2 linked regions of the Pelodiscus sinensis genome follow. The protein of the gene in region 1 purifies or fractionates together with the protein of each later gene. This does not show direct contact. Links are inferred from orthologs where the notes say so. Each region holds a gene or a part of one and is shown on either strand. Other genes may lie near its edges. The genes, in order: TOR1AIP2 and CUL4A.

Region 1 (15,743 bases):
GACAACTAAGACTAGGGGTTCCCAACATTTTGGGGCTGCCGGGCGCCTGGGGGCAGGGCCGCTTACGTGCTGCGCTTACGGGGGCGGGGTTGCTCACAGGCCACGTGCCTGGGGGCGGGGCCAAGCATGCGCCGCACGCTCCAGGCCGGCACCAGCATGTGCCGTGACCCCGGGCAGGGGCTGCCCAGGTGCTGTGTGCCTGGGGCCAGTACTGGCATGTGCTGCGACCCCGGGCAGGGGTCACCCATGCGCCCGGGGCTGACACCTGCCGCACGCCCAGGGCGGGGCCAGCCCAGATTGCTCCGCAAGTGCACATAAATGGCCCGGCGGGCGCCATGGCGCCCACGGGCTCCGCGTTGGGGCCCACTGAAGACGAACGTGGCACAATGCACAACTTAACCGGCTCCATGTAGATTCCTTAACGATTTTTATAGACAATCGAGTGGGAAAATGCTCAGCACGACGCCCGGGCTGACTGAGCTCGGGCCACATCTCTTCCCTGCCTGCTCAACAGTAACACGTGGAATAGCAACCCGGGCTGCGCCCACGAACGCTCGCGACCCCTCCCCACGCTCGGGGAGTCTGCACAGAGCTGCCGGAGCCCGGGGGGCTGTTTCCAGTTGAGGTGAACAGGCGCCACCCGCTGCCCGCGCGGACGCAGCAGGGAGCGGAAGGGAACGAAGCGGGGCGCAAAACAAAGCCGCTGTCAGGCCGCTTTCCAGAGCCGCCCGGCCCCGGCCCCTCAGAGGCTAATTTGCCTAAACCCGAGGTGCCTGCTGGTCAGATGGGCCGGTCACATGGTAGAGCCCGGGCGCCCCCTCGGCCCCCCCGCCCGCCTCAGCTGGCAACGGTCTCAAGGGAACCGTTTAACGGCCAGGAGAAGCCGGGCGCGGGGCAAGGAAACCCCCCCGGCGATGGCCCCGCCCCGCAGCGGGGGGCAGAGCGCGGCAGCTCCCCCAAGGGGGGCTCGGCCACCCCTCGTCGGGGTCCCCCCTCCCCTGCGCCCTCAAGCAGAGGGCGCGTCGCGGGATCAGCAACGGCTCCTCAGTCACTCACGTTCCGAGGCCTCGGCGCCCCGCCGCCTGGGCTCCGGCTCCTTGGCCCCGGCCGCGGCTCTTCGTCGCGTCTGCATCTCGGCGGTGGCTGCCCGGAGCTCAGGCGCGAGACGGCTCTCGGCGCGTTCTCCCGCCGCGCGGAACGCCTCCCCCGCCGGCCGCGTTTCCGTCCGGACACGCCCTTGCTCTTCCGGGGCGGAAGCCGCTGCCGTCGCAACTAGGTGATTGGCTTCGCTTTCCTGAAAGCCTCACTTCCTGTCGGCCATGTTGAAGGGCGGAAGTCTGCGGGGAGGGCCGCTTCTCTTGCAGGGCTTTTCCCGCGAGCCCTCCCCGCTGGACTGGAAGTCACGTGATACAGCACCGTGTCACAGCTGCGCTCGCTCTTTGCTTAGCTCTCAGCCCCTGTTCTGCCCCGCAGCTGTCAACAGCTGGGGCTGGTCCCCGCCCCCTATCGCCCCCTCTACCCCCTCCCCGCTATCCTCCCTTCCCGGCCGATTTCTGTCCCCGCCCCCCCATTCCCCTTTTCCCCCCTCTCCCTTCCCCTTTCTGTCCCTGCCCCCCATCCGCCCTTTTCCCCCTCTCTCTCCCCCTTTCTGTCCCTGCTCCCTCTATCCCCACTTTTCCCCTCCCCCGCTTTGTCCCCACCCCCTTTATCCCCTCTCCCTCCCCCCTTTCTGTCCCCGCCCCCTCTCCCTCCCCCCTTTCTGGCCCCCGCCCCCTCTATCCCCCCTTTCTCCCCTCTCCCTCCCTCGCTTTCTGTCCCCTTCTCCCACAGAGCAGGGGCTGGCACTGTCCCCTTTCCCGTGGACTTGCCTTAGCCCCATTCTCCAGGCGGCAGGGGCAAAGCGAGGGGCGAGGAGTTTGCGCAGTGGGGTAGGGGGCTGAGAGCTAGTGAAGCAAAGTGTAAACCCTGGATGGGATGAAAACCACTTCAGGCCCTGGGAGGTGCACCAACGCCCTTAGTTCCAGCACCAATTGAAAAGGGACACTGGGAGCTGCTGCCCCAGTGATTTCTGGGGAGGTGGAAGCAGGATAGCTCCTTGCCCTAAGAGTTTGCAGCACTCTAGCCTCTGAAATAGGTTTTAAAACGGGCTCCTCCAGTCCCAGCAGTGCTGCTGGAGGCTCTTGGCCAACAGGGCCCCCCACATGTAGCTTTGGAAAGTCTAGCACTTATGATAGTTGGGGGCAGGGAGATGGTTCTGGGAAGCTTCTCAGTTGGTCCCCATAGTTTGTTTTAAACAAGCTTGGGAGGAATGGGCTATGAAAGTGACTAGCAACAAAAGTGAAATTGACCTGTCTCCACATGGCCCTTTGAGAGAAATGGAAAAGCTACAGCCACAAGCAGGGAGAAGGCAATGAGACAGGCAAAGGACTGGGAGTCCAGAGTGCTTTTGTCATAGCTTTTCTGCCTGTACTTGAACAAGCGGTTTCACACACACTAAACCCAACTCACATGAGAAGCCCCATTAAAGTCAATGGAGCTACTCACATATATGTAGCAACTTCTACATATAAGCATTTTTTGGGTTGGTGCCTAGGAGTACTTCAATTTTGCCATAAAATGGGATTAACGAAATATCTACCTGTGGGGGTTGATGCGATTGCAAATCACTAATATGTTGTGCAAAAGAGTTATGAGATTAAAAACAATGAAATTAACATAAATGTATATATTGTTTTTCCTAAGATTGTCAATTGGTTAAAAATGTAATTGTGATTAATTATGTTGTTAATAATAGAAAACCATTTATTTAGCTTCAGAGGGGTAGCTGAGTTAGTCTGTAACTGGAAAAACTTTAAAAAAACCAATCAGCCTACCAGCACCTTAAAGACTAACAAAACATGTAGATGGTATGAGCTTTTGTGGGTACAACAGCAGAAGTGGGTTGTACCAACGAAAACTCATGATATCATCTACATGTTTTGTTAGTCTTTAAGGTGCTGCTAAACTATTGGTTGTTTTTTAAGTTTACCATTTATTTAAATACTTGTGGATGTTATCTTCATTTGCAAATATACTGCTCTCAATTACAACATAGAATACAAAGTGAATACAAAGTGTTCACTTTATTAAAATATTTGCACTGTAAAAAAACAAAATAAATAGTATTTTTCATTCAACTGATACAAGTACCGTAGTGCAATCTCTTTATCGTGGGGGTTTAACTTACCAAGATAGAATTATGTACAAAAAGTAACAGCATTCAAAAATAAAATAATATGAAACCTTGTTATCAAGCAGAATCCATCATAAGCATGGAAGGAGGTCCTCTGAAATAAGAAGCTGGTAGCAGTATCTCCCATAGATGTAAAAAAACTTGCTTTTCTTTGCGTTAGTTCTACCTCTTGTTCAACCTAAATGAATCTGTAGGCTCTAAAGTTTTACATTGTTTTGTTTTTGAGTGCAGTTATGCAACAAAACAATCTACATTTTTAAATTACACTTTCATGATAAAGAGATTGCACTACAGTGCTTGTATGAGGTGAATTGAAAAATACTATTATCATTTTTAGAGTGCCAATGATAGTAATCAAATGTAACCATATAAAGTGAGCACTGCACGCTTTGTATTCTGTGTCATAATACAAATCAATATATCTGAAAATTTAAAAAAGCATCCAAAATATTTAATACATTTCATGTGGTAGTCTGTTGTTTAACAGTGTGATTAAGCACAATTAATTTTTAATTGTGATTAATTTTGAGTTAATTGTGTGAGTTATCTATGATTAATCAACAGTTCTAATTATTCCTTTCCTGTAACAAATAGTATGGAAGTTTGATTTTTATAAATACAATTTTTAATGACACACAGCACCCAGGGTGGTTTACAAGTACAGCATATAATGTTATCTGGGATCAATCTGGATACAAGATATGATGTAAATTCAAGATCATCAGAGCTATCTCATCCATAGAATGGTTGGGGTGGCCCCGAGCCCTGCATTTTGGGGAACCCTATGATGTCAGGGCAGCCTCGGTGATTACCCAGGGGTTCTGGGACAGTAGCAGGGTCGGGCCCAGCCCCGTACTCACCAGGGAGCGTGGGAGCCACAGGAAGCGAAGCAGTCCAGCCTCAGCACGCTCTGCTTCGCCATCTCCTAGGCGGAAGTAGGTGCCAGAGTCCTAACCTCCTCCAGTCTCCTGAGCAACAGGGCTTGAAGCTGGGCTCGGGGGCTGTGTCTGCACTGGCCACTTATTCCGGAAAATCAGTCGCTTTTCCGGAATAACTTGCCAGCTGTCTACACTGGCCCCTTGAATTTCCAGAAAAGCACTGACGATCTACTGTAAAATCATCAGTGCTTTTCTGGAAAAACTATGCTGCTCCTGTTCGGGCAAAAGTCCTTTTCCGGAAAACTGTTCCAGAAAAGGGCCAGTCTAGACAGCACAGTAGTGTTTTCCGCAAAAAAGCCTCGATCGCAAAAATGACGATCGGGGCTTTTTTGTGGAAAAGCGCGTCTAGATTGGCCACGGACGCTTTTCCGGAAAAAGTGCTTTTCCAGAAAAGCATCCTGCCAATGTAGACACGCTTTTTCCGGAAATACTTAAAACGGAAAACTGTTCCGTTTTAAGCATTTCCGGAAAAGGGTGCTAGTGAAGACGTAGCCAGGGAGTAGAGCAGGCTAGGGCCAGGTTATTCTGCTTCCCACCACCACAGGAGTACAAGGGGGGTAATGGCCCCCCAGTAATTCCCCAGGCCATGTTGCTTGGGAGGAGGCAGTGTTGGTTCAGGCAGAGGTGGGGGAGGAGTGGAGCAGGGACGAGGGTTGGAGTGGGGACGGAGGCAGGGGCAGAGGCAGGGCTGGCCTTACTATGAGGCGAACTGAGGCGGCTGCCTCAGGTGCCAGACTGGGGGGGGGGGGGGGGGGCGCCACTAGAACCCAAAGTGTAGAAAATTGTGTCTGCTGCTGGTGCAGATGTATTCTCTCTACTCTAGATGCACAGAGATGGTGAAGTGATGTGCTGGAGGAAGGAGGGCACAAGAGACAACAGGCAGGCAGGAGAAAAGGGGGCATCATTTGAACTCCCCGCCGCAGTTGCCAAAATGTAGTGGGCTGGCCCTGTGGGGGGAGGAGAGGGTGTTGTTCCAGGCTCCACAACCACCTAAGGAGGGTGCTGACGATCATTATTAGATTTATTTTTCTCATATAGATTTGAGCAAATACAGCACACAACGTATATACAAATGATTTAGGCAAGGCTGATTTAACTATAAAATGAAGAGGTCCTAAAGGGTTTTTATTTTACTAAACCTGGGAGGGACTGGGGGAAGGGAGGAAGACAGCACCTCATTCCTACAGCAAAGTCCATCTTATTTAGGCTGATGCCTTTTTTTTCATCCTGGAACATTGTAAATTATTTAAGGAGACACGGACATGCTCTGAGCACTTCGTAAGAATGTGGGACAACAACTTTTCTCACTTCCTAGCCTCTCTACCTCTCAAGTCTGATGTTTATTAAAGAAGAAAAAAATGTTTAATAGTGTTGTACAAGTGTTCTCTTGAAGTTCAAATTTTGTTTAGAAGCAAGGGAAAATGTGTTACGTAAATTATGCATGCCTTCTGTGCCAGGCCCAAATGTATGAACTGTCATTCTTTTAAGATGGAATAGGAGAGCAAATAAGATGAGCTTTATGTTTCATTAAGCAGCACAACAGAGTGTTACAGAGATAATCACCTAATCGAGATGTTTTAAAGTCCACAGAGCTATTTATTCTGATTTAAGTCAGATAGAAAGAGCTAGTAAATGACTGATTCGTAATCTTTCAGTCATCCGGTAAATGTGCAGGTAAAATCTTTCCATTTTACCTTCATCCAAAAGTCTCCAAGGGCTTTACAAGAATTAAATTATGTGGTTACTGACTGTAAATGAAAAGCAGCATTTCAAGATACGCTCTGTGTAATCAAGCAGACTTCTGTGATACAAAGTGATCTATTGATCCTTTTCTAGCTTGTTATATTTCTAAAATAAAATCCAAAAACCTTTGCTTTAAAAAAGTTAACATTGCTAAGCGACAATATATACACCTAGCAACCCCCCCCCCCCCCCCCACCCCCAACGGATTGTGAAAAATTGTAATTTTGCTAGAGGGAGACAAAATTAGACAAGCCAACATTTCCAATTAGAATAGTTATAATTGCCAGTAATTCAAAAACTGTTTAGCTTTATATTTTCAAGTATGTGTGATCAAATGTACTCCTGTATTCTCTCCCTAAACGCTACTGTAATAATCTTTGCACAAAATATGCCCTGTGAGATATAATTTAAAAATTAAGACCTCTCATCATGGGAAAATGCATGTAGCAATATTATATCCCAAGTTATAACATTTGAAAAATTCCACCTTTTACACTGAAGCTGCTCGACCCTGGAGCCTAGTTTGTACAAGGCTAGCTTAATAATGTGGCCATATGTCAGGAAGGCCAACGGGACAATTTATTTTCTAAATGGGGCTGGTTTGGGTTCCAGAAAAAAAAACCTAATAAATCTTGGCTTCTCTGATTTGTCTTTCCTACTTGCTGTTTTACACTGGCCTGTGTAATTGAAAAAAAAAAAAAAAAAAAAAGCAACCACAGATTACTTGTCATTTGTACTATGTAGTACTATTGGTCCAGACCAAATCAGGCTCCCATTGTGCCAGTGCTGTACATAAATCTTTGCTTTTACATAAATCACCTCTTTTTCCCTTGTCTTATGCCTCTTAATACTTTCTCCCTCTGCTGTAATTCTGTTAATTGGCCTTCCATCCTAAGAATAGGTCGGCACCCAGGAAGCCACCTAGGCTGAAAGATACAGTTGCTGGGTTTAATTCTGAGTATCCTCATTGTTGATCTTGGTTTGCCACTTACTATGGAGCAGCTGATGACGAATCAAAACAATCAATCCACTCTCTTCAGTCTTCCATAGTGCCCTGCTTCTCTGCTGTACAATAAAGTTGGTGTAACTCTAGTTCTATTAAGTCTGCAACTTCGTAGCAAGCTTGATGTCATGGCGTCTCCACAAAGACCACTGAAGGGCACATTTGGCAGCAGGTGCTGCTATACAAGCATCCACATCTTTCGAGCATCCTCCAGCACAGTCTATGATGCCTCTTAAGTGTCCCATCCAGATAGAGTAATCTTGAGCTGGCGGTAATCTACAATTGGGAATTTGGTTATGTGGTGAGGTCACGAGTGACGGAGACAGACTGAACATCCAGCCAGACCCACCTAGGGTCCTAGCTAGAGACTGAGCTGAGTAGTGCTTGAGCTGCAAGGAGGCTACGTTTCTTTGGAATTTGCCCGAAAATGATTATATGAATGTAATTCTACCATTTCACTGGTTCCAAACTGGTTTCAGATACACTCTGTTTGAAGGATGCTCTGTACAATTGTAGAGTTCGGTAAGTCCAAACAGAGGAGTTACTTCCTGAAAATAATTATATTTGTAATCAGAACAAAACCACTAACTCACGGGTGGGGAACCTAATGCCCGGATGCAGCCACTAAGGCTCAGGGCTCCCCCTCCCCAGCACTGGGAGCTGGATAGGGTTACCAGATGGCTTCAAAAAAATTCCAGACACACTTGATCTCAGAACTGGAGGGGGCTGGGGAGAGCGAGGCTGACTGAGGGAGATTGGGGTGTGGGACCAGCCAGCGGGAAGCAGGGCTAGCTGGGAGGGAGTCGGTGGGAGTGGGGCTGGCTGGGAGGAGGTCGGGGAGAGCAGGGTTGACTGGGGGAGATTTGAGGGGAACCAGCCGGCAGGGAGCAGGGCTGGCCAGGAGGGGGTCAGGGGAAGCAGGGGGATAACTGGCTGGCATGGAGCGGGGCTGGCCTGGACGCACGCAGATCCCGGGGTGCTGCCCATCCTGCGCAGGGTCCCGGCAGGGCGCATGAGCGATTCCGGCCCCAGGGATTCCATCCCGCCCTGACCCCGCTCCCCTCCTCTCTACTGTGTAGCTGCGTTGCCTGGCTGGTAGACACGCTCACGCAGTGTGAGCATGTCTACCAGCCAGGCAGTACGCAGCTACGTACTAATACTCATGATAATAATAAAACTTACTTAATTAGAAAATGTGTATGTCTGGTATCTTCTCAATTTGTTTCCCGGACAGAAAGCTCAAATACTGGACTGTCTGGTTCAAAACCGGACACCTGGCAACCCTAGAGCTGAAGCACACAAACTCTACTAGCTGGGGATCCCCTAGGCTCTGGTGTGTGAGGAGAATGTGGGGAGTGTTGTTCTCCTTCTCAGTGCGGGGCTACGTCTGTGAGGGGTTTTGTTTGTTTGTTTACTCTTTGTTTTGCTTCTCACTTGTGTGCGGCCCCCGACGCAAAAAAAGGTTCCCCACTCCAGCACTAACTGATGTAGGACTATTCATTCAAAGCAACATGGCCATAATCAAAGAGAGGGGGGAGAACTACATATCCCAGCATTCCACGATGGCGCCCTGGATGGGTGCAAGGTTCACTGTCACGTTGACAGTGGGAGGATTAAGAGTTTATGGGTGGGTGTATTTGAGAGGAAAGGATCTGTTTTCCCTCCAGCATGGAAACTGAAGGGCCGTTGGGATGTCTGTGGTAGGGAGCAGCTTGGGTCTGCCTGTAACAATCCCTCTGCTACGAAATAGCTGCTAAGCACTGCTGCAAACTACAAGTAAGTGTTCAGCTCTGCACAGCAGAGCTACTTTTAGTTCCTCATTTCCTGATCTTTCTGATAACACAGAGGAAGATTCAAATGCCGGTGGGGTGGGGGCAGAGGGCAGAAATTCCTGGGAGTGAGCTGTAGGTCTGACTACTTGCCTCCATACAGTTTTGATTAACTCCAAATACGGTGCTGCAGTCAGTTAGAGGGCATGACAATAGAGGCGACAGGCCATCTGGTGTGAGGAAATATCTTCTTAGACTCTGTGTTAGGCACTCTGTGTTAGGCACAGACTGCTGCTCATTTGCATACAGATCCTTAAACAGGTTACATTGCTCACTGTTGCTGCCTGACTTCACATGATTAGCATCACAAAATGCACCATCTTTAAACTGAAACAACAGGAAACTTTATGATGTGAAGAAACTGACCCCCCCGTCACTCTCCTCCGGTATTTGTGTCCTTGCCTCGCTTTGCGCTGTTGTGACATGTTCAAAAGGTGGGGTCACATTCTTGCCGCGTGGCTGGTGGAGAGACATTCCTCCTTTTCCCTTCAACACCCTGCCCTTCCCCCCACGACTTATAGTCTGAGTGATTCAAACATCTTTTAAAGAGTGGATGAAATTGCTGGTGCAACAGCCTTGGAGACTCGGACCAAAGGCAGGTACCGTGCAACTTCCCCCATCATCCTCCCACCAATGGGATTCAGACATAAGGGCTCCCGCTTGGTGTACATGGGCACAAAAGGTATTTTCTCCAGTCGAGTTACCGTCACACAATTAAAGATCGCCCAGAGAGACTCGGCTGAACACCTTTTCAGTCACATGAGCTGATTGTTAACAGCACGAGGCCTAACGTCCTCAGATATCACTGATTATCCAAGCTGCATCTTGGTACATTTCATCATAATAAAGGTAAACGCCTCACACTGCGCCTCACAGCTTTGAAGGGGCTTTGGGGGTGGGGAGGCTCTCAAGTTTCCCACTATGAGTCATTGCTTTAGTCTCTTTGTGTCCAGGAGCTGGCTGCGAACAGTCAAGCTACGCTGACCAGAAAGAAGATAGCAGGCATCTGTATGACTTAACCAGGAAGTGTAACAATCTAGCAAAGAGGCCAAACACCAGAACAAGAGAATGGCAGAAAATGGAGACCAAGAGTCTCCTCAGGGTAAGTTTGCTGAAGGAGATGCTTTAGAAATAGGTTTCTATTTAGTAATAAAGTTGACTATTTGTTTATTGTTGTATTAGTCCCTGTTACTAGTGTTCTAATAAAAGTAATGGGAGCTGGCCCTTTAAGAATAGGGTGGCAGCACCATGGGTGTCGGCTTGCAGGGTTGGGCGAGAGTCAGGGAGAGGGGTGTTTGTGTGTGTGGGCATTTAAGCTGCTGCAATAAGTGTGCTGGGGCATCTGTGTTTAAACAGAGTTCTCCTTGAAATTCGGAGGCTTGTGATGAAGGGGGTCGATTACATGCAGGTCTCCACTGCTATAGCCCCAAGATGGAAACTGCATTTCCAGACACACTAAAAGAGAAAATCTCTGAAACGAAACTAAAACCTGAACAGGAAAAACCACCTTTGTTTCATTTCTCTATGTCCAGTTCACTAAAAAGAAAACCCAGGAAAATCCCTACTGGCCTGATCGTATGCTTAAAGCAAACCCAGTCTTCTGAATTTCTGAGTCCGATAAGAACAAGTCCCTGGGTTGACAACACCATGGATACTTAACCTCGTGATTCTTTCCATGATCAATGCTCCGTGCTTCAGAACAAAAGAACCCCTTCCTCCCTGCACTTCCAAGCACAAACTCAGTCCAGGGACCGAACTCAGCTACCTCTGTGGACGATAGAGGGGATTTCTTCCTGACCTCTAAAATAATCAAGCTTCAAGCCCTTAAATGAAATTCTTATCACAAGGGGCATGGGCATGTAGGGTCCCACAGGCAGGAATGCCAATAGCCTCCCTGGCGGAGGTGTGTGTGGAAGGCTCTGGGCTCCTGGAAGGGGCGGGGCCTCCATGCGACGCAGAATAAGCCACGCCCCCCCCATCCCATAGAACCACCCCAAGCGATTTAAAGTAGCAGTAGTAGCAGTGGTGGCTAAGAGCCCCTGGGCTCCTTTGAAGCTCTGGGCCCCAGGGCAACTGCCCTATTCCCTCTCCCCCTCCCCACAGCAGCAGGCCTGCCCCCTGGCCAGTATTTGGGGTAAAGTGGCCTCTACTGCATAATAATGGAAGCAGAGCTGAATTTAACGTTCCCAGTTTCCCAAAGTACATGAATATGGTTATGTTTAAAAAGTGAGCACGCAGTGGACTTAGGGAAACATAGGGGCTGGAATTCGGGGGATGCTGCTGCTGTACCTCCTGGCTTGAAGTGGTTTCCATGACGTCTGTAGTTTGAGTCAATGGCTCTCAGCACCCCCCACTATACAAATTGTTCCAGGACCCGGGTTCCCTCTAAGTTTTCCACACACGTGAGGAATTGCTTTTGTCACATGCCCCAATATGGAGGGGAATATGATACACATCACCGCTCTATTGGTGCCCATAACAAAAGTCATGTAGTGGGGGTGGGACTGAGGGGGTTCAGAGTGCAGGAGGAGACTCAGGCCTAGGGTTGCCAGGTGTCTGGTTTTCACACGGACAGTCTGTTATTTCTGGCCCCTGTCTGGTAAAAAAAAAAACCAACAGAAAATACCGGACATGTAAAATGTCCAGTATTTTCTGTTTTTCTTGGATGGAAGGCTGGCGGGGACATTCTTCCCCTGCTGCATTGGTGTGGGCGAGGGTGAAGCAAGGAGCACAGGGATTCTTAAAGGCGCAGTGACTTTTTTGTTGTTGTTGTTCTCCTGGTTGTTGGGGTTTTTTTTTTTTTTTTTTGCTCAACCAAGTTTTTTTCCTGACGTGTTTGGGATTTTTGGTGAAAGCATCTGGCAAGCCTACTCAGACCAGGGGCAGAGCATTGAGGTGTAGGGGTGTATGGCTCCAGCTGGGAGTGCAGGACCTGGGGTGGGGTCAGGGATGAGGAGTCTGAGGTGCAGGCTGCCCTGGGGCTATAGCAAGGAGCAAGGACCCCCCAGCAGCACCTGGGCTGGAAAGGAAAGGCAACTCTCCCCACCATGGCTCCCAATCTGTCACAGCTGGGGCTGTGGGATGGGTGCTAGCCCCAACTGTGACAGATTGGGAGCCAGGTTAGGTTTGGGCTGGGGGAGGGGTGCCTGTCTCGTGGCAGTGGCAGCTCGGAGCTGGGCTAGGATCAGGCTGTGGGAGGGAGTGTCATTCCTCAGGCCACCGCAGGTCCACCTGGGCTGGGTTCCCTGCGTGCCTGCATGGCGCTAAACAGGCTGCTGCACAGTCAAGCAGCTTACAGGGAACTTAGTCCAGGAGCTCTGTAGGGGCCATATTGTCCACACAAAGATGACTTGGATCAGTTCTGAGATCCAAATTCTACAGAACTCAGAGATCAGGAGATTATAGCTGGTCACACAATAGGCCAACTGTTCTACACAAGCTTGCCGGACCCAGCTTTTGCATATGGAAAACAGAACGATCCCAACTCTACATGTGCACAACCTGGGTATTCAGAAGCCAGCTTAGATGGCCCATTTAATTTTTTTTTCTATGTATACTCTGTCCTTTTATTCTGTTGCGCAGAAGTTTTCAAACGGGGGGAGGCAAGGAATGTATTTCTGCGATATCTCTGTGACGTGCACGTTTATCCCCCAGCCTTGAATAACTAGCAAAGTCCATTCCTCCAGACATATCAGGCCCTCAGATGGCCCTGTGCATTGGCTCTAGCTGGTGCTGTGCATGTTGAAAGATTTCTGTTAAGCCTGCATAGCATTATACAAAGTCTTTGCCATTTGAAAGTAGGGATGTGAATGGTTAACCAGTTGACCGGTGGGGGTTAGAGCAGCCCCACAACCACTGCAGGCAGAGGGCTACTCCAGTTCTGCAGGGCCCGCCCTGGGCCTGGCCCAGCACTGCGGAGAGAGGCACTCCAGCTCAGTTGCGGCGGATGGAGGGTTGCTCCAGCCTAGAGACGTTAAATATCAGTTAATTGAATAGTCAATTAACCTCATGAATTCTTATCGGTTACATGGCTATTCTATAGTCCCTGGGGGTGGGGCTGGCAGCCAGTGCGCTCCAGCCCCACTACTGAGGAGCCCCCCATCACTGTGTGCTGCTGCCTCTGTATCAGAGGCAGCAGCGTGGGGTGCCAGGCGGGAGCTGGTCCGCAAGGGGAGCCGGTTTAAAAACCAGCTCTCCTTGCGGACCAGTCGCCTGTCATCCTGCGCTGCTGCCTCTGTATCAGAGGCAGCAGCCCCTGTCCAGGGTGGGCTCTGATCTTCTGGATCCAGTGCGAGCCAGAACTGAGCCAGGCTACTTGCCAGCCTGCTAAAAAAATTTACTGGCCGGGGGAGGGGGGGGCGGGGGAAGGGAATGTATAGTCTATAACATTAATCAGTAAGCTTTTGCTCATCAGTTAATCGACTGTACTATTACATCCCTACTCCAGCCTGTCCCCATTTAATGAGTTAACTGGTTAAACATAGTGTTTAACCAGTTAACTAATTAAAGAGGATTTTACATCCCTATCTGAAAGCTAATCCATTTGCCATGACATGGGGTGCACATTTGATTATAAGCCTCAACCAAAATCGCAGTGTTGCTTTTGCTCTCGTTACAAAGGATCACTGGCTTTGTTTGAATCAGTGCCTTACTGTTTGTTCTGTTTAATGCGAGTTGCATGTTGATTATTTTTATTGGTACTGGCATGGTGGAAAGGGGGCATAAACCACTAAAGACATAATGGGGGGGAGAATCAGATAAGTGTGAGAACCACTGCAGTAGTGTAAAACGGATCAATGACAGTCCTTCCCCCTGAACACACAAGATCATTGTATCCAATCCAAACTGATACTAATGGAATTCAGTGAGTAATTCATACTAAATAGTTGCATTCAACACAGTTACATTTTCCCCTGGCCTTGAGTTATCTGGGAGCATCTTACAGTTTTGTCAGATTTATTCTGAATTAAAAATTAGTTGCTGGCTAATTTCCATATGATAATTCTTGATCAGCAGATTTTTTGTGAACAGGTTGTGCAAATGTTCAATATTTAAAATCTTAACTATGTCAGATAGTTTTGCTGGAACCTATAGCTCACTTATATTTGTTTGTTCTCTCCTTGGAAGTCTAAGATTCAGGTTCCTGGCAAATACTCATATTTACAAGTCCAAAACTTCCTCTGTGAAAATATTCTCTAATATTTGCTTTAAATTTCCGTTTCTACAAGCACACCTCAATTCTTTGCTAGACCAGCCACAGAAAGGCAACAGATAAAGACCTTGAATACAGCAGAAACAAGTTATATTTTGTTAATATAATTGCAAAGAAAAGGTTTGCAATCACTCGGCTCAATCTGCTATCATGTCAGTACCATGAGTAGAAACTCCCCAACAGGGGCAGATATAGGGCAGGGCGAACGGGGTGGCTGCCCCGGGCCCCACGCTTCAAAAAGCCCCGTGCATGCGCCGTGGCAAAGGGTGGGCCCTGTAGAATTACGCTGCCCGGGGCCCCGCAAAACAGTCATCTGCCCCTGCTCCCCAAACCACAAAACATAATATACATCCTCTTCTCCTTGCCCTACCAACTTGGAAAGCCCCAGATACATAGTCAGGCCTTATGACATATCCTGCAATTTAATGAATTATATTTTCAAAGTCAAGGGACTCTTCAGCATTTAGAACTCTCCATGAAACAAAAAACAGGACTATGTAGCACTTTAAAGACTAACAAGATGGTTTAATAGGTGATGAGCTTTCGTGGGCCAGACCCACTTCTTCAGATCAAATAGTGGAAGAAAATTGTCCGTTGGCATTTACATTTCAATTGTATGTCTCAACAGCTGGGTGTGTACCATAGAAAAGGGGTACATTTCTAAAATAGCCAGCACCCAATCTTTTCAGGGCCACGAGCGTGAACCATTTATTGTATTTGTAGAGTGGCAGGCATACATTTAGTGGCCAGCTTGAGATCTCTATGAAGATGTCCCAATGTAGGTCACTGGGGGTGAGGGGTTATGGGAACCTCGAGTCCCCATTCTTGTGTGTCAAGTGTTGGAGTGTATAGGATTAGGAGTTTTGGTGGGAGATTGTAGAATACTAGTAGGCAACCAGGGCTGGCCTTACCCTGAGGCAAACTGAGGTGTCCGCCTCAGGTGCCAGACTGTGGGGGGGCGCCACTAAGACCCAGAGAGTAGAAAATTGTGTCTGCTGCTGGTGCAGATATATTCTCTCTGCTCTAGATGCACAGAGATGGGGGAGTGCTGTGCTAGAGGAAGGAGGGCAGAATTGAAACCTTTCAAAGTTTTGGCCCAAGCGAGGGGGCATAGGGACGTCATTTGAGCTCCCCGCCTCAGGTGCCAAAATATTGTGGGCCAGCCCTGTAGGCAACTCAATATTCTTGATTATTATAGTAAAAACATAAACAGCTTTTGACTTTTTGATCCCACCAGTTTGCCCAGCTCAAGAATGGAGGAGACAAGTGATGGAGAAGACTTCCCAGGCCCAAGAGACTGAAAATGCACCGAGGACCGGTCAAGAAAAGGTGGTGGAGGATTCTGGTGCTGTCCAACTGCAAGCCTCTCCAGAAATAGAAACGCTAGGCCCTCAAGAGACGAGCTGTGTGTCTGGAAGCCCTCTAACAGTCGGCGAAGAGCTTTCATCAGAGGAAAGACCAGTGAGTTCTGATGGCATTTCTCTGAAAACATACCCTGTGGAATCTCCAGGCCTTCTGAACCTTACCACAAGATGTCCTCCAAGCCCAATGAAGTTACCAGACTGCTCCCCGGAGAAAGACGCGGTATCTTCATTAGGTGAAAAGAAAGTGCATTCAGTGCTAGCTGCTGTGGAGGAGAACATCCCAGAGGAACCCACAATAGAAGAGGAGAGCGATGTAACCACTCTCAGAGGAGAGCTACAGGATCCCGCCATGCAAGAACCCGCACTGTCATCTGCAGACTTCCTGGACCCAACAGGAGAAACTACCTCAAACAAGGAAGGAG
Region 2 (15,438 bases), on another chromosome or scaffold:
TTTCTATAAATTAAAAGGAAAATTGTGGGCATAAATCAAGTTATATTTTATTGTTGGAGTTGCTGAAAGGAAGGATAGTTTGGGTTTAATTAATAAGGACTCAAACGTATTTCACATGCATATTAGTATTTAATAACATAAACTAATAAAAAAACTAATCCTGCCTTCCCTACTCAAAACATCTTCCCTTTCACATCAATGGGCAGTTTTTCTTAAGCAGGAGCTACATGACTGGACCTGAGTATCTTTGTGAACTCATTTAAGTCAATTAGGCTTGGTCTACACTGCAGCACTATTATGGGATACCCTGGGTATCCCAAAATAGGTATTCCGCATCTTTGGAGCACGCCTGTTATTTTGAAATATAATGAGCTCACTATTCCAATGTCCCTGTAAACCTTATTCCACAAGGAGTAAGGGACATTTTGGAATAACAATTTATATCAAAATAAGTGCTGTGTAGACAGCGCCAAAAATCAAAATAAGCTATTTCAAAACTGACTTGCAATAAGCTACCCAATTATTTCAAGCTATGAGTGCAGTGTAGACACACCCTTTAGAGTTTTGGGTATGGATGGGATATAGGATTGCGTACATAGCATTACAGGCAGTCCCCGACTTACGCGGATCCGACTTATGTCGGATCCGCACTTACGAACAGGGCTTTCTCGCCCCGGAGGTCAAGGTGGCGGATTGCTACCTGCGAGCTCCGGGGCGAGAAAGCCCCGTTCGTAAGCTGCTCCGGTGCCCCTGGTCTGCTGGAGACCGTCTCCAGCAGACCAGGGGCACCGGGCGGGTTCCCGCGCTTCTGAGGCTTTGCCAGAGCAAAGCCTCAGAAGCGCGGGGAACCGCCGCTGCTGCCGCTTCAGTCCCGGTGCCTGTGGTCTGCTGGGGACCGTCCCCAGCAGACCACAGGCACCGGGACTGAAGCTGCAGCCGCGGCGGGTTCCCGCGCCTCTGAGACTTTGCCAGAGCAAAGCCTCAGAGGCGCGGCACCCCGCTGCCGCTGCGGCTCTGCTCCCCGTGTCCCTGGTCTGCTGGGGAGGGGGGGCGCAGCTAGTGTGCCCCCCCCCAGCAGACCAGGCTTTTGTTTTGGACCCTGAGGAAGAGCAGCTGGGGCGCTGCCGATTGGTCCTGCAGCGCCGCTCTGGGCACTACTGGACCAACCTGGCAGCACCCCAGCTGCTCTGCCCCAGGTCCTGATTCAGCCACTGCTGGTCAGTTTCAGCAGCGGCTGAATCAGGACGCCTGGGGCAGAGCTGATGGGGTGCTGCTGGGTTGGTCCAGTAGCACCGAGGAGCAGCGCTACTGGAGCAACCCAGCAGCACCCCAGCTGCTCTGCCCCAGGCGTCCCCAAGTCAGCTTCTGCTGAAACTGACCAGCGCTGACTACAGGAAGCCCGAGGCAGAGTTGCTCTGCCCCAGGCTTCCTGGAATCAGCTGCTGATCAGTTTCAGCAGCAGCTGACTTGGGGACGCCTGGGGTTCTTAAGTTGATTCTGTATGCAAGTCAGAACTGGCGGTCAGTTTCAGCAGCGGCTGAATCTGGACGCCAGTTCCGACTTACATACAGATTCAACTTAAGAACAAACCTACAGTCCCTATCTTGTACGTAACCCGGGGACTGCCTGTATTCTTGTCTACACTATTCAGGGAAATATATTCCCACTTCCATATCATTAGCAGAAACCAAATTAGTCCTAAAGTCAATAAAGAATATTAGCAATGATATAAAGCATTATTAAACAGTTAAGTATAGTGCACATGCAATCAATGAGTTCAGCTCTATATTGACTTCATCTTTTTTAAAGAAAGCATTCTCTGAAAATATTTAAAGCAAAATGCTCAATAGCAAAATCTAAAACTATGAAAATATGATAGAGAATGTGACAGTAATCTAGCACGGCTGTTATTACAGTTAAGAAGCCTGACAACAGAGCCTGAGATTTAAATTTCAATGACTATTTAAAGGGATATGATCAATTTTTAAAATGTCACACAATGTTTTCCCTCGTATTACTTTAAATGACATTTTAAGTAACAGATTAAATGCTTCCTTTTTACAATTTTACTTCATGCATTTGCCAACATATTGATTCATTTATTTATATTAAATTTTCTATAGTAGTATGGATCTGTCACTCAGAAACACAGAGAAAACCCTTTCCTAAAGACAGAAAAACATGACTGAAACCACAGCAACTGGGAAAAGGACTTGAACAATTAATATTTAACTTTTGGCTCCTTTTATGGAACTGATCAAGTTGACATGTCTCATGAAGGTGCTTAAATAAGCGTGTGTTACATCTGATAGAGAAGGAATCTTTATATCAAGCCTCTCAGCCTGGGGCAACAGAGTAATGCTAGCAGGGATTCAGGTAACAGTAAAAACAGCAGTATGGAAATTGTGGGCTAAATGGAGACTTGGGCTTATCTCCACCTAACTCGGTGGCAGGGGTGGGGAAACAGGAGAGCCTGAGTTACCCCCTGTGCTGCACTAGCCGTGATATTGGATTTAGCGCTTGAACTGGGCTAGTGCAACGCTGTCTATCTGGGCTGGCAAAGCCCACTGAAGTCACAAGAGGACTTGGTAAAGATGCCAGAGCCCGCGCTAACAGATCTTATCACAGGACTGGGGGGCTTACGTCGTTATCTCGGCCTCCGCACATTGAAGCGCCACATGAAACAAATGCTGCTCTGCTTTCATCCCTGCCCTAGAAGAAGCTTCCCTAGTTATCCCCTCCCATAGCCTCGCTTGCCTTTTCAGCAGCAGGGCAACGTGCCTGTAGCAAGAGCAAGGGAACGGGGGGTGGGGGGGGGACAAAGCCGCTTACCTGCTGCAAATACTGGTTGATGGTGATGTGCGCCATGGGCAGACCCGGGCCGATGCTGGGGATCAGGAGGGGGGGGGGGGCGTGTGCTTCGCTGCAGAGGAAACAGAAGCGTCACCGCGAAACGAGCAGCTCTAAAGACCCTCCCCGCCCCATCCCACCCGCGGGGCCAGCGCCAGACGCAGGAAGAGTGGCGGGGGGGGGAGGGGGTCCCAGGACGCGCTCTACCCGCCTCCCCCGCGCGCACTCACTGGCCTCGCGCCGCCGCTCGCGCCTCACTCCAGCGCACCCCGCAGGCGGGGCAAGAGCTCCGCGCTTCCGCCTCCCTCACGGCGCGCCCGCTTCGCACGTGACACCAGGCCCCAGCAAGGCGCTCACGTGACTCGTCGCACCCCTCCCCTCCCTGTTGTTCTTGTTCGCGCTGGAGGGCAAAGGGGGCGGTGCCTCCCGCCTGTTGGAGACTGTCCCGCCCTGTGCGAGCAAAAGGGGCTGTGACAAACTGTAACTAGGCAAAAGCGGCGTGAAACCCACAAGTGCTACACCGCAAGATGCCTGGAAAATGGCCTGCTTTCCCACTTTAACCGTACAAGACACATCCAGTGGAACATATTACTTACACTGTATAAAAGTAATAGATTGGTAGCCGTGTTAGTCTGATCGTGGTAAAACAAAAGAAAAAAATAGGTAGCATTTTAAAGACTAACATACCATCTGCATATTTTGTTAGTCTATAAAGCGCTACCAGACCATTTTTTTCCTGTAACAGACTAACTAGGCTACCCCCTGAAGCTAATAAACTATCTCGTTAATCTTTAAAGTGCTATGTATTTTTTCCTTTTGTTTTACAATGTATAGTATAGATAGTAGTATAAACTGGGGATGTGAAAGATTAACCAATAACTGGTGGGGGCTGGAGCAGCTGCTCGCCTGCCATAGGCAGGTGGCTACTCCAGTCCCACAGGGGGCTGGCTGTGGACAGGAGCTGCTCTCGGGCAGAACATCCCCCCATCCATGGCAAGCCTGGGCACCTCACAGGCAGGGACTGCACCAATGTCTGGAGCAGCCACTGTGCGCGGGGAACCCTGTCCATCCTCAACAGGGGCTGGCGGGGCTTAGGGGCCAAGAGCTGGGAGCCAGTAAAAGCCCCAGCCCCTACCCAGATACTGCTTAATTAGTTAACCAGTTAAATGTTAGATTAACCTAATGTTTAACCGTCTAATTAACTGGGATTTTACATCCCTAAAATAGTTGTATGAAGGTTGAGTTTATACTGACTTTGCTAGCATTTTTTATGTAGCCTGTTGTAAAACTAGGTGAATAACTAGATATGTTGATGCACCCTCTGAGAGATTATTCCATATCTTCAGGATTACGTATACATCTGGTTCAAAACCAGTGGGTAAGTCAGGCCCAGCCTTAGGGCAAGGTGGGCAACGCAGTTGCCTTGAGCCATGTGCCTTCAGGGCCCTGCACTACCCAGTGCCCGCCCACCCGCTCACTACCCTGGCTGGGTGCTGCCCAGCCACGCAGTGCAGCCAACCACAGCATGCTGCCTTGGACCCTGCAAACTCTTTTGCCGGGCCTGCGTTAAGTAATATCACTTATTGGATCCATCTCTTACTGGGTGATACACAAGCTTTTAAATTACAGAGCTTTTCTTCTGGTCTGGGAAATGTATTCAGTGCCTCAGCTATATACAAGTTGAAACAGATTGTTCAGCACAAGTAGTTAGTACATATTTCAAGGGACCATTCAAGGTGAGGTGGCCTATTAACTCGGGATGTAAATATTAGTTTAAAAAGTTAACCATTTAAACAATTAAAATTATATCATTTAACTAGTGAACTGAGATTGCTTCGGTGAGCTGGCTAAGAGTAGCCAGGACTGGCGTTCCAGGGTACGTCTAGACTACAGGCTTTTGTCAACAAAAGTTTTGTCAACAGATACTGTCGACAAAGCTTCTGTCGACAAAGAGCGTCTAGACTACATCCAGTTCTGTCGACAAAGCAAGCCACTTTGTCGACATGACAGTGTGGACGCAAAGGACAGTGTAGATGCAATAATGCCTTCTGTCGACAAAACTCTGTCGACAAAAGGTGTTATTCCTCGTAGAATGAGGTTTACAGCTGTCGACAGAACTCAGTGGCAGTGCGGACGCAGGTATAGTTTTGTCGACAAAAGTGGACTTTTGTCGACAAACCACTGTAGTCTAGACACACCCCCAGTGGGGCTGGCCAGATACAGCCCACAGCTGTTCTAGGCTGGCTGGCACTCTGTGGATAGGGCTGGGGTCTCACCTGCAAGCCATGGACAGGAGTGAGGCTACTCCTGCCCACTGCAGCTGGGACTGCAGACATGTTTGAGGTCCTGCCTATTACCTACGGATGGGGCTGGGCTGGGGCTGCTCCAACATGGCTGTGACCAGGATCCTGCCTGCCTGTTCCATGGCAGAGGTTCTGCTAGCAGGCCTGACCATTGTCTCTTGGGTCCTGGCTGGCCACTGTGGTTGGGGCAGAAGCCCCATGAGTTATATTACCCACTGCAGCCAGGGCCCTACCTACATGCTTGAAGTGGCCAGGGCTAGGGTCTCTGGCTGGCCAGCCTGATGTGGCCAGGGTTAAGGGGTAAGATCTGGTTAACAGTAAGCCTAGTATCAGTTAACCATTTAAACTTTTACATCCTATTATTAACACCCTTCATGGTACATTAAGGTAAAAAATTTCACAAATGACCATAAACATAAAAAATGTCCAGTTCTCTACTGTTGTTATTATTGATACAGCTTCTTCTATGGTAAGAGTGCTGATTTTAAACAGTGTGCTGTCTACATCTGCTCTGAGTAGATTTAGATGACATGATGGTTAAAACATGGGTTGGTCTATACCTGTGCTCCTATATTCACTATTTTTTAAGCTGCTACAACCATAGCAAGAGTGGGAAATTAAAACAACAACAACAACAAACAGCTAGTGAAGCCCTGGGCCCTTCTTGTCAGAGACACCATTTCATTTAGTGGGTGTTCATCACTCTGAAAATTAAGATGTGTTTCAGGCTGAGAAGAGGAAACTAGAACTCCAAGAAATGTTGGACTTTGTCTTTAATAGGATGAATAGTATGAACTTTTTTTATCTTGGCCAGTTTTATTCACAAGATGCATGGTGTTACATAACCACCTCAGGTACCTATATAAGAACAGTCATACTGGGTCAGACAAAGGTCCATCTAGCCCAGTATCCTGTCTTCCAATAGTGGCCAAAGAGAGGTGTCCCAGAGGAAGTGAACAAAACTAAGGATGTTAAATTTTGATTAATTAATTGAATAGTTGATGGGATTTCCATCGACTATTCGATTAGTCGATAAGAACTTCCACGTTCCTCCTTTGAAATGTACAAGAACCCCAGTGGGAGCTCTTGTGCTTTTCAAAGTGGAAGCCCTGGGGTCAACGGGGGACCCCTGCTAGGGACTCTTGTACATTTCAAAGCTGGCATGCCACCTGGAGCCTGGTCCCAGGCTCTATGCAGCATTCCAACTTTAAAATGCACAAGAACCCCAGTGGGGGCTCTTGTGCATTTCAAAGCGGAAGCGACCATGTGGAGCCTGGGGCCAGTGTGGGATTCTGAGTCTCCCACTTACCCCAGGCTCCATGTGGCACTTCCACTTTGAAATGTACAAGAGCCCCATCAGGGACTCTTGTACTTTTCAAAGTTAGCTGCACTCCTGCCCCCTTCCTCGGAGCTAGAGGGAACCAGCTTTTAAGCCGGCTCCCTCCAGCACCCGCATTCTCTTCCCTTCCCTTGCTGCCTCTTTGTGATAAAGGCAGCAAGCCGGGGGGGGGGGGGGGGGGAAGAGGAGGGGAGTGACTAGTTGACTATTTGATAGGCTTTTGCTTATCGAATAGTCAACTGGTTGATTAGTCACTTACAACCCTAAACAGAACAGGATCACCAAGTGATCCATTCTGTCGCTCATTCCCAACGCTCTGACAAACAGAGGTTAGAGACACCATTCCTGTCCATGCTGGCTAGTAGTCATTGATGAACCTATCCTCCATGAATTTTATCTAGTTTTCGAACCCCTTTAAAGTCTGGTCTTCACAACATCCTCTGGAAAGGAATTCCATGTGCTGTGTGAAGAAATACTTCCTTTTGCTTGTCTTAAACCTGCTACCTATTTCATTTGATGACCCCTAATTCTTGTGTTATAAGAACAAGTACAGTAAACTTCCGATAATCCGGCACCTTTAGGACCCAGGGGGTACTGGATTATCAAATATGCCGGACTATCAGAAGGGGGGGGCTATGAGGGGTCTGGGGTGGGGGGAATGCCACCCCAGACCCCTCATAGCCCCCCCTTCGGATAGTCCGGCTCTGCCCCAGGGATCCCCGATTCAGACGCTGCTGATCAGTTTTAGCAGCAGCTGAATCGGGGACGTCTGGGCCAGAGCAGCTGGGGTGCTGCCAGGTTGGTCCCGCAGCGCCGAGGGGCCACGCTATGGGACCAACCCGGCAGCACCCCAGCTGCTCTGTCCCCGGCTTCCCCGATTCAGTTGTTGGTCATTTTCAGCAGCGGCTGAATTGGGGAAGCCCGGCACAGAGCAGCTCCAATTGTCCGGCTGCCCGGAGCACTTCCGGGTTCCTGATGGTGCCAGACCATCAGGAGTGCCAGAGCTTTGGATGCCGGACCAATGGAGTTTTACTGTACATAGATTTCCTTATTTACTTTCTCCATGTCAGTCATGATTTTATAGACCACTATCATATAAGAACATAAGAACGGCCATACTGGGTCAGACCAATAGTCCATCCAGCCCAGTATCTTGTCTGCCGACAGTGGCCAATACCAGATGTCATGGGGGAGGGGGGAACACAACAGGTAATCCTGATGTGATTCCTTCCTTGTTCCTGTCACCCACCTCCAGGGAAACAGAGACTAGGAACACCATTCCTACCCATCCTGGCTAATAGCCATCGATGGACCTAACCTCCATGAATCTATCTAGCTCTTTTTTGAATCCTGTTAAAATTCTAGCCTTCACCACATCCTCTGGCAAGGAGTTCCATAGGTTGACTGTGTGCTGAGTGAAGAAAAAACTTCCTTTTGTTTGATTTAAACCTGCTGCCTATTAATTTCACTTGGTGACCACTAGTTCTTATATTGTTTGTTGACTAAAGATTTAATACACCTGTGTTTAATGATGTTCAAAATTTGAATGTATATTCTAATACAAATAGCAAATTATTAAGTGTGACTTAGTAGTTTTCTTATTTTTGAGTCAATTATGATTTTTTTTTTTAGGCCCTAAATTTTTCATAGGCCCTAGGCACTGTGCCTACTGGCTAATCTGAACAGAATAGCAAAAGAATGACAGCTACGCTGAAACTTGCCAACCCTCCCTGATTTGCCTGGGGTCTCCCAAGAATTAAAGACTAAGCTTGAATGAAAGATTACAGGTCATGTGATGAAGTCTCCAGAAATCCGGCCAACCTAAACTGACAACCCGGTGCCTAGGTCAACTAAGGCCGCTTGAAAAACATGGAGCGCCTCAGTGCTGCTCCTTCACCGGGCTGAAGTAACGCGGCTGGAAACCGCTCCCAGCGGGGTCCGCGGAGAAGGGCCGGGAGGAAAGACGCCGAGCGGGGCGCTCCCCGCTGCTCGCCCTGGGCCCCGTGCTCCCAGCCTGCGCCAGCCTCGAGACCCCTTCGCTTTCTCCTGGGCCTCCAGGGGGAGCCCAGCGACGCCTCCTCTCACTGTGTCCCCGGGCCGGAACTGCTCTCCCGCCCGCCCCGCCGCGGAAGGGTCCGAGTCCAGCCAGGGGCCGCCCCGCAGGCGCCTCCGCTCCCCCGCGAATCCCCTGCCCGGCCGCCTCGGGGGCCATCTTGTGCGCGGAGCCGGCTGCAGCCGCGGCCTGTCGCCCTCCCCCTCGCCAGCGGGGCGGGGTTGATGGGGCCCCCGGAGCCGGGGCGCCGCGGGGGGAGGCCGGGCTGGCGGTGACTCTCCGCAGCCGCTGCCAGCAGGCGGCCGAGGCCGGGCAGCGCGCAGGGGGCGGCCATGGCCGGCGAGCCGCAGAGGAAGCCGCACCTGCCGGCGCTGGGGGAACACACCAACGGGCTCACCAAGCCCGCCGCGCTGGCGGCAGCCCGGGCCGGGGGCGCTGCTGCCGCCGCCGCCGCCTCCAAGAAACTCGTGATCAAGAACTTCAGAGGTGGGCCTGGGCCGGGGAGCGGGCGGCGGCTCGAGGCGTCCCGTGTCCAGCCCCCCTCCCGGCCGGGCCCCCGGTGGACCCCGCGGCCCTGACCTCGGCCCCCTGCTGCCCCCGCCCCTTCCCCGCTGAGGGGGCCGCCGGGCCCGGCTGGGAGGGGCCCTGGCTGCGGGCTGCTGCGCACACTGACAGGCGGGGGAGCCAGCCCAGGTGCCCGGCCCACCCTGTGGTTTGGGGGCGCTGTGCAGCCTCCAGCTCGAGCCCCGGGAGCCCGTGCAGCCTGCACCCTCTGAGAGCAGCGCCGCTCCCGAGGTGGGGTGGTGTCGGGGCTGCTCTAGTTCCTTCCTCCCCAAGAAATAGGTGCCAGGCTGGGTTTGCTCTGGAAAGTGACTGTGAAAAGGCCTTAACTCCGCTAACTTTTGTCTCAACAGCTACAAGGGCTCTTACTCAGCCTGCTCCTATGTATAGGCAGTGACTTTTTTTGGCAGACAAGGGCCTGATCCTGTAGCCCCAAGGAAGTTAATTCAGCTGACTTACATATGCGAGGTTCTGAGCCTAGGGGCCCTAGCATTGCCAGATGGTTTCAACAAAAATACTGGACACACTTGACATTACATCACAATCTACATTACATCTTATTTAGAAAATACCGGACATTTATACTTTCTCATTTGTATTTTCTCAATTTGTTTCCTTAACAGAAAGCTCAAATACTGGACTGTCCGGTTCAAAACCAGACACCTGGCAATCCTAAGGGACCCTCATCTGTTGCTCCCAAAGACAGGCTAATCTTACCCAAGGGGCTGGAACAATTTTTTGTAGTTAGGAATGTGTATGATGGAAGCCCTGTATTTGGTGTTTGTTGTTAATAGTCATAGCCTGGGATGCCAGAGCACTTCCATCACTTCTGGTTCCAGCATCACTGCTACTGTCTTACAGATAGGAGATATGATAAGGATGTTAAATATCGGTTAATTGAGCAGTTGATTAACCTCATGAGTTCTTTTCGATTACTTGACTATTTTATAGTCCCCAGGAGCCGGGCCAGCAACCAGCGTGCTTTAGCCCCACTCCTGAGGAGCCCCTTGGCAGCAGCGTGGGGTGCCAGGCGGGGGCTGGTCCATGAGGGAGGCCAGTTTAAAAACCATCTCCCCTCACTGACTGGCTGCCTGTCACCCTGTGCTGCTGCTTCTCACACAGAGACAGCAGCGCGGGATGGCAGCAGCCCCTGACTGTGCGTGTGTGTGTGTGTGTCTGAACTCCCAGACCCAGTATGAGCCGGAACTGGGCCAGTCTGCCTGCCCGCCTGGCTCCTAATACACTTTAAATTCAGAGCCACAGAGGGGGTTGGTTCCAGACTAGTGAAAGCCTGGACTGAGCTGGGCTGCCTGCCCACCCGGCTACTAATACACTTCAAATGCAGAGCTGTAGCAGGGGTTGGTCCTGGACCCAGCACAAGCCAGGACTGAGCTGAGCTGCTAAAAAATTTACTGTCGGGGTTGGGGTGGGGAATGCACATAGTCTATAGCAATTATCTATAAGCTTTTGCTTATCGATTATTGACTATACTATTACACTCCTAGGAAATGAGGCATAAAAAAGTGAAGTGATTTGTTGATGGTCACACAGCACATCAGTGATGTAGATGGCAACAGAACCCAACCATTCTGTCAGACAAGTCCAGTGTCTGGCTACTGTACTGTCTTAGTATTGCCTTTTCAGCTAAGTGATGCAGTTTCTGTATAACAGTTTGTGTTGCAGTCTTTCTAACGTTTCAGTTAAGAGCAAGTTCTGAAATCAAATATATGTTATGTGTAGAAAGTTCTATTACATGCAGTGTAGTTAGAGATAACGTATAGCAATGGTTTGGCGGTCAGATACTTTTTAAAGAAAATATATTGAAATAAAACTAGTATAGACAGTGTTAAAGCTAATTAAGAATGGTGTCGAAGATGTTGCAGTAGACCAAACTAATTTGCTAGAATTTGGAATGCTAAATTAAGCTTTATTAAATAAAAAAATCTTAAATTGTAATACTTAATTAGTCATTAGTGCATTCTGAAATAGTATTCTTGGACATGTTTAACAAATGTTGTCCAGGATCATGCAGGCTCTTCTATCTGTGCAGATGTATTTTATTGGGGATCTGTGTATGTGAAGAGGAGCAGCCCATGTAAAACAACTTGTGGCAGCTGGGCCTTTGTATGCACCATTCTGAGATAAAAACAGCCCTTAGTGGCTTTTGCCAATGTTATATGGTATTGCAAATATTCCTTTTTTTTTTTTAAATCAAGCTTAAAGTGTGAAGTGAAACCCAATGTGTCTGTCACCTTATTAAATAGTATTTAAAAAGACATAACTCGTATTGGTTATAGGGATGTAGACAGGTAACCGGTTACTGGTAAGCATCACCCAGTGAGGTGATGCTTACTGAGTGGCTAGTTAACTGGTGTACAGCCTGGTTGGAGCAACCCCACCAGCAGTGCGCCACGGACAAGGGGCTGCTCTAGCCTGGCCAGGTCGCTGCACAGCGGACGGGGAGCAGTCCAGCATGCTGGAGCAGTATCCTGCCTGTGGTGCAGTGTGGCAAGCCCTGCCCGGCTTGGCTGGAGCAACCCCTGATGTTATATGTTTATCTTGTTAACATTTTAAATGGGATTTTTGCTTCCCTAACTGATGGTTCAGTTTTCCACTTACCTCTAACTGGTTTTACAGAAAGACCTAAATTGCCTGATAATTACACTCAGGACACTTGGCAGAAGCTTGATGAAGCAGTGAGAGCTATACAAAGTAGCACCTCTATTAAATACAATCTTGAAGATCTTTACCAGGTAAGAGACAAGTTTTTGTGTTGTATTTTTTAGAAAAACTAGGAAAATGGTAGAATATAATACTGATTTCTTTAGAATTTTCATGGTCCTAAACAGTGGAAATGTAAATGGGATTTTTATGTTTACAGTGCATATTGTTCTGACTACGGATCAGTTCAATGTTCTGTTCCTAACATGTTTATCATATTCCAGATCAGTGACTTCCCAAATGTTCTCCTTGGAATTTTCTGGAATAATGGAGCACTAGCAGGATTAGGGTTCATCTAACTAATGCTAGTCATATTGAAGGCTATGGAAGCATGTATTTTGGCAGGAGTCAGAATGAGGGACAAAGGGCAGAGACTATAAGTTGTAGTACTCTTCCAATCTCTGCTGATTCTGTATGCTGAAATGAGATGTTATGCTCATTAGAGTATGCAGGTACTCAGAGTCCTAGTAATAACTGGTTCTCTTATTTGCATGCTGTGACCTGCCATGCAGGGCTGGTCTTACCTTGAGGTGAACTGAGGGGCGGGGGGCACCACTAGGACCCAGAGTGTAGAAAATTGTCTGCTGCTGGTGCATACGTATTTTCTCTGCTCTAAATGCACAGAGATGGTGGAGTGCTGTTCTGGAGGAAGGAGGGCACAAGAGACCTAACAGGCAGGCAGAAGAAAAGGTGGCATGGGGATGTCATTTGAGCTCCCTGCCTCAGGTGCCAAAATGTTGTGGGCCGGCCCTGCTTCCATGAAAAAGGATAACAATGTTACAATATTCATTGTCACAATTAATTTTCAGAGTCTCAACACTCTTAGTACTGACTGAGTGGGCAACAAAGTATCATTTCACATTTAGAAGAAAACTTAAAAAACAGCGAATGGTCCTGCAGCACCTTAGGGTATGTCTACACTACCCCGCTAATTCGAACTAGCGGGGTAATGTAGGCATACCGCAATTGCAAATGAAGCCCGGGATTTGAATTTCCCGGGCTTCATTTGCATAAGCCGGGCGCCGCCATTTTTAAATCCCGGCTGGTTCGAACCCCGTGCCGCGCGGCTACACGCGGCACGAACTAGGTAGTTCGAACTAGGCTTCCTAGTTCGAACTACCGTTACTCCTCGTGGAATGAGGAGTAACGGTAGTTCGAACTAGGAAGCCTAGTTCGAACTACCTAGTTCGTGCCGCGTGTAGCCGCGCGGCACGGGGTTCGAACCAGCCGGGATTTAAAAATGGCGGCGCCCGGCTTATGCAAATGAAGCTTGGGAAATTCAAATCCCAGGCTTCATTTGCAATTGCGGTATGCCTACATTACCCCGCTAGTTCGAATTAGCGGGGTAGTGTAGACATACCCTTAGAGACTAACAAAAATATAAATAGTATCATGAACTTTTGTGGGCACGACCCACTTCTTGAGATGAAATGGATTGTGCCTGAGAAAGCTCATGATACTGTGCAACTGAAATGAATGAGTTTCTACTTGGACATGTGTTAAACATTGCTATAGCCCTCTAGGGATACAAAACTTGTATCTGCATCCAGTCTACAAATATGGTCTGCAGACATCTGCATCCACATCTGTGGATATAAGGTGGACATTCACATTTTTGCTGGGCTGTACTCTTTGCAGTATCATGGTCTCAGAAATTGCATATCACTGGAAGTGGTCTACAGCTTTCATTGGAGTTCTGTAGAGTTATTAGCAGGGAGCATGCTGAGAACCTAGCAGTGTGCATTAGGTGTGAATGTCAAAGACCTAAAAATAATAATTATGGGTAAAGATTGCCCTTTACTCCCTAATCTCATGGGGATATTTAACATATTGTTCTAAACATAGTTTATTTAATCCATTACTATATTTAAAATAAAATAATGTAGTTAATTCTTTAAATAAGACAATTTAACTGTGCATTATTTAAATACTGGGCTTTGTAAGCGCACATTCCAGTTGAATAACATAGGTCCATATTTAAAAGTTTTATGATCATGTTTTTATGCATTATTTGACACAAGTCCAGGCGTTTGTAATTTCATTGGACTTGTTTTCAAATGTTAGGAGGAGATTATAGTTGCATTGGCATGAAATCATCAAGGCCTGGACAAGAATTTTGATGTGTGGGAAGAAAGGGGCAGGATGGATTTTTGTATACATCATAAAATAAGAAGCAAGGAAACTGTAGTTTCACCTGTTTGTGCACTAATGTGCAAAACTTAATTCATAATGGCAGTTCATAACAGATCTTCTAGTCATCAGTGCTAATTAGCAAGTTTCCACTGTATGTTTCTGTGCACGCTTGTTTATTTATTTAGGGAAGGAAAGAGAGGATAATTTAGCTCTGACTAGAAATGTGGTTACGGATCATTTTAATTGCCTGATGGAACTTGTACATATAGGGTCTTTTTCCCCTGGATCTTTGTGGTCTTTACTCATTATGAACGGAAGCCAGTAGGTCTACAGAAACCCAATATGTTAAATAGGTTGGTCTGCCACGTAACCAAAAGTTATAATCATCTTTTATATTTTAGGTTTGTTATTGATTAGTGTAGATAATTCCTGATAAGAGAAATCTAATTAAAACCAGTCATTATGTGTTAAAACATGGAAAGAACTTGCAATAATGATGCCTAAACCTATGGTGTTTGTTAAAATATTTAGCTGGAAATTTTTTTAAAAAGTGATATGTAGAAATTAGAGTTGTCAATGTGTAGTTGACTATACCATTAACTAGGCTTATCAGTTAATCTTGTCAGCTGCACACATTTACCCTCCTTCCTCTGCTGCCTCTGTATCAAGGGCAGCAGGAGTGGAAGAAACCATTGTTTGTGGGGAGCTTGGATCCCCCGCAGACTGGGGCTTCTGCCACCCTCTATATCAGAGGCAGCAGTGTGGGGCAGCAAGCAGTTGGTCTGTGCGTGGAGCTGGTTTTTAAACTGGCTCCCCTCGGGGACCAGTTCCCGCCTGGCACCCAGCGCTGCTGCCTCTAATACAGAGGCAGTAGCATGAAGTAGCAGGGGCTTCCTGGGAGTGGGACCAGAGCGCACTGACTGCCAGCCCCACCCACTGGGGACTATAGAATAGACGAGTAACTGATAAGAATTCATGCAGTTACTCGACTACTCAATTAACACATATCTAACATCTCTAGTAGATATAATAGTTGTGCTATATCTGAAGTTTCAGTCTTCATCATGTATCTGAGCCTTCAGTTAAGCTAAAAATAAAAATAAACAGAAGTGCTTTTCAGATGTTTTGTAGTTCCTTCACTGTAGAGCTGGTGATTTTCTAATATAGAGTCATGGACAGGTGAGGCTGGAGGGGACCTTGAGAGTCATTTGCTCTCCTCTCACCTCTCCTCCCTACCCCCGTATCCTGAGGCACAATCAACGTGTATGGCAGGGCTCGGCAACCTTTTCAAACCAAAGAGCCAAACTACATCAAAATTCAGAACAAGTGGTCAACAAAAAGCTCATTTGCGTGACTGAAAATATCCAACTTAATATTATTGATAATTGACGTGATGATTAATAATAGCATAAATGAAACCGTAGTCACAGACTTTATTTAATGGGACTTCTGCTGCTGCTGGAAGTGCAGTTTGTGTA

What was found.
Region 2: the proteins of TOR1AIP2 (region 1) and CUL4A purify together in Homo sapiens (affinity purification with mass spectrometry; 4 studies listed by BioGRID, with this or other methods). This does not show direct contact. The link is inferred for Pelodiscus sinensis from reciprocal best matches to the Homo sapiens genes TOR1AIP2 and CUL4A.

Annotation. Positions count from the first base shown.
Region 1 is NC_134719.1:59,453,850-59,469,592, forward strand, and holds the start of TOR1AIP2 (torsin-1A-interacting protein 2), read left to right. Parts: upstream 1-8,521; 5' UTR 8,522-8,692; intron 8,693-9,698; 5' UTR 9,699-9,813; coding exon 9,814-9,847; intron 9,848-15,194; coding exon 15,195-15,743. Other genes in the region: torsin-1A-interacting protein 1, read right to left, coding at 1,057-1,132. UniProt on the Homo sapiens protein: Required for endoplasmic reticulum integrity. Regulates the distribution of TOR1A between the endoplasmic reticulum and the nuclear envelope as well as induces TOR1A, TOR1B and TOR3A ATPase activity.
Region 2 is NC_134711.1:237,492,838-237,508,275, reverse strand, and holds the start of CUL4A (cullin-4A), read left to right. Parts: upstream 1-8,313; 5' UTR 8,314-8,877; coding exon 8,878-9,031; intron 9,032-11,743; coding exon 11,744-11,859; intron 11,860-15,438. Other genes in the region: PCID2 (PCI domain-containing protein 2), read right to left, coding at 2,833-2,868. UniProt on the Homo sapiens protein: Core component of multiple cullin-RING-based E3 ubiquitin-protein ligase complexes which mediate the ubiquitination of target proteins. As a scaffold protein may contribute to catalysis through positioning of the substrate and the ubiquitin-conjugating enzyme.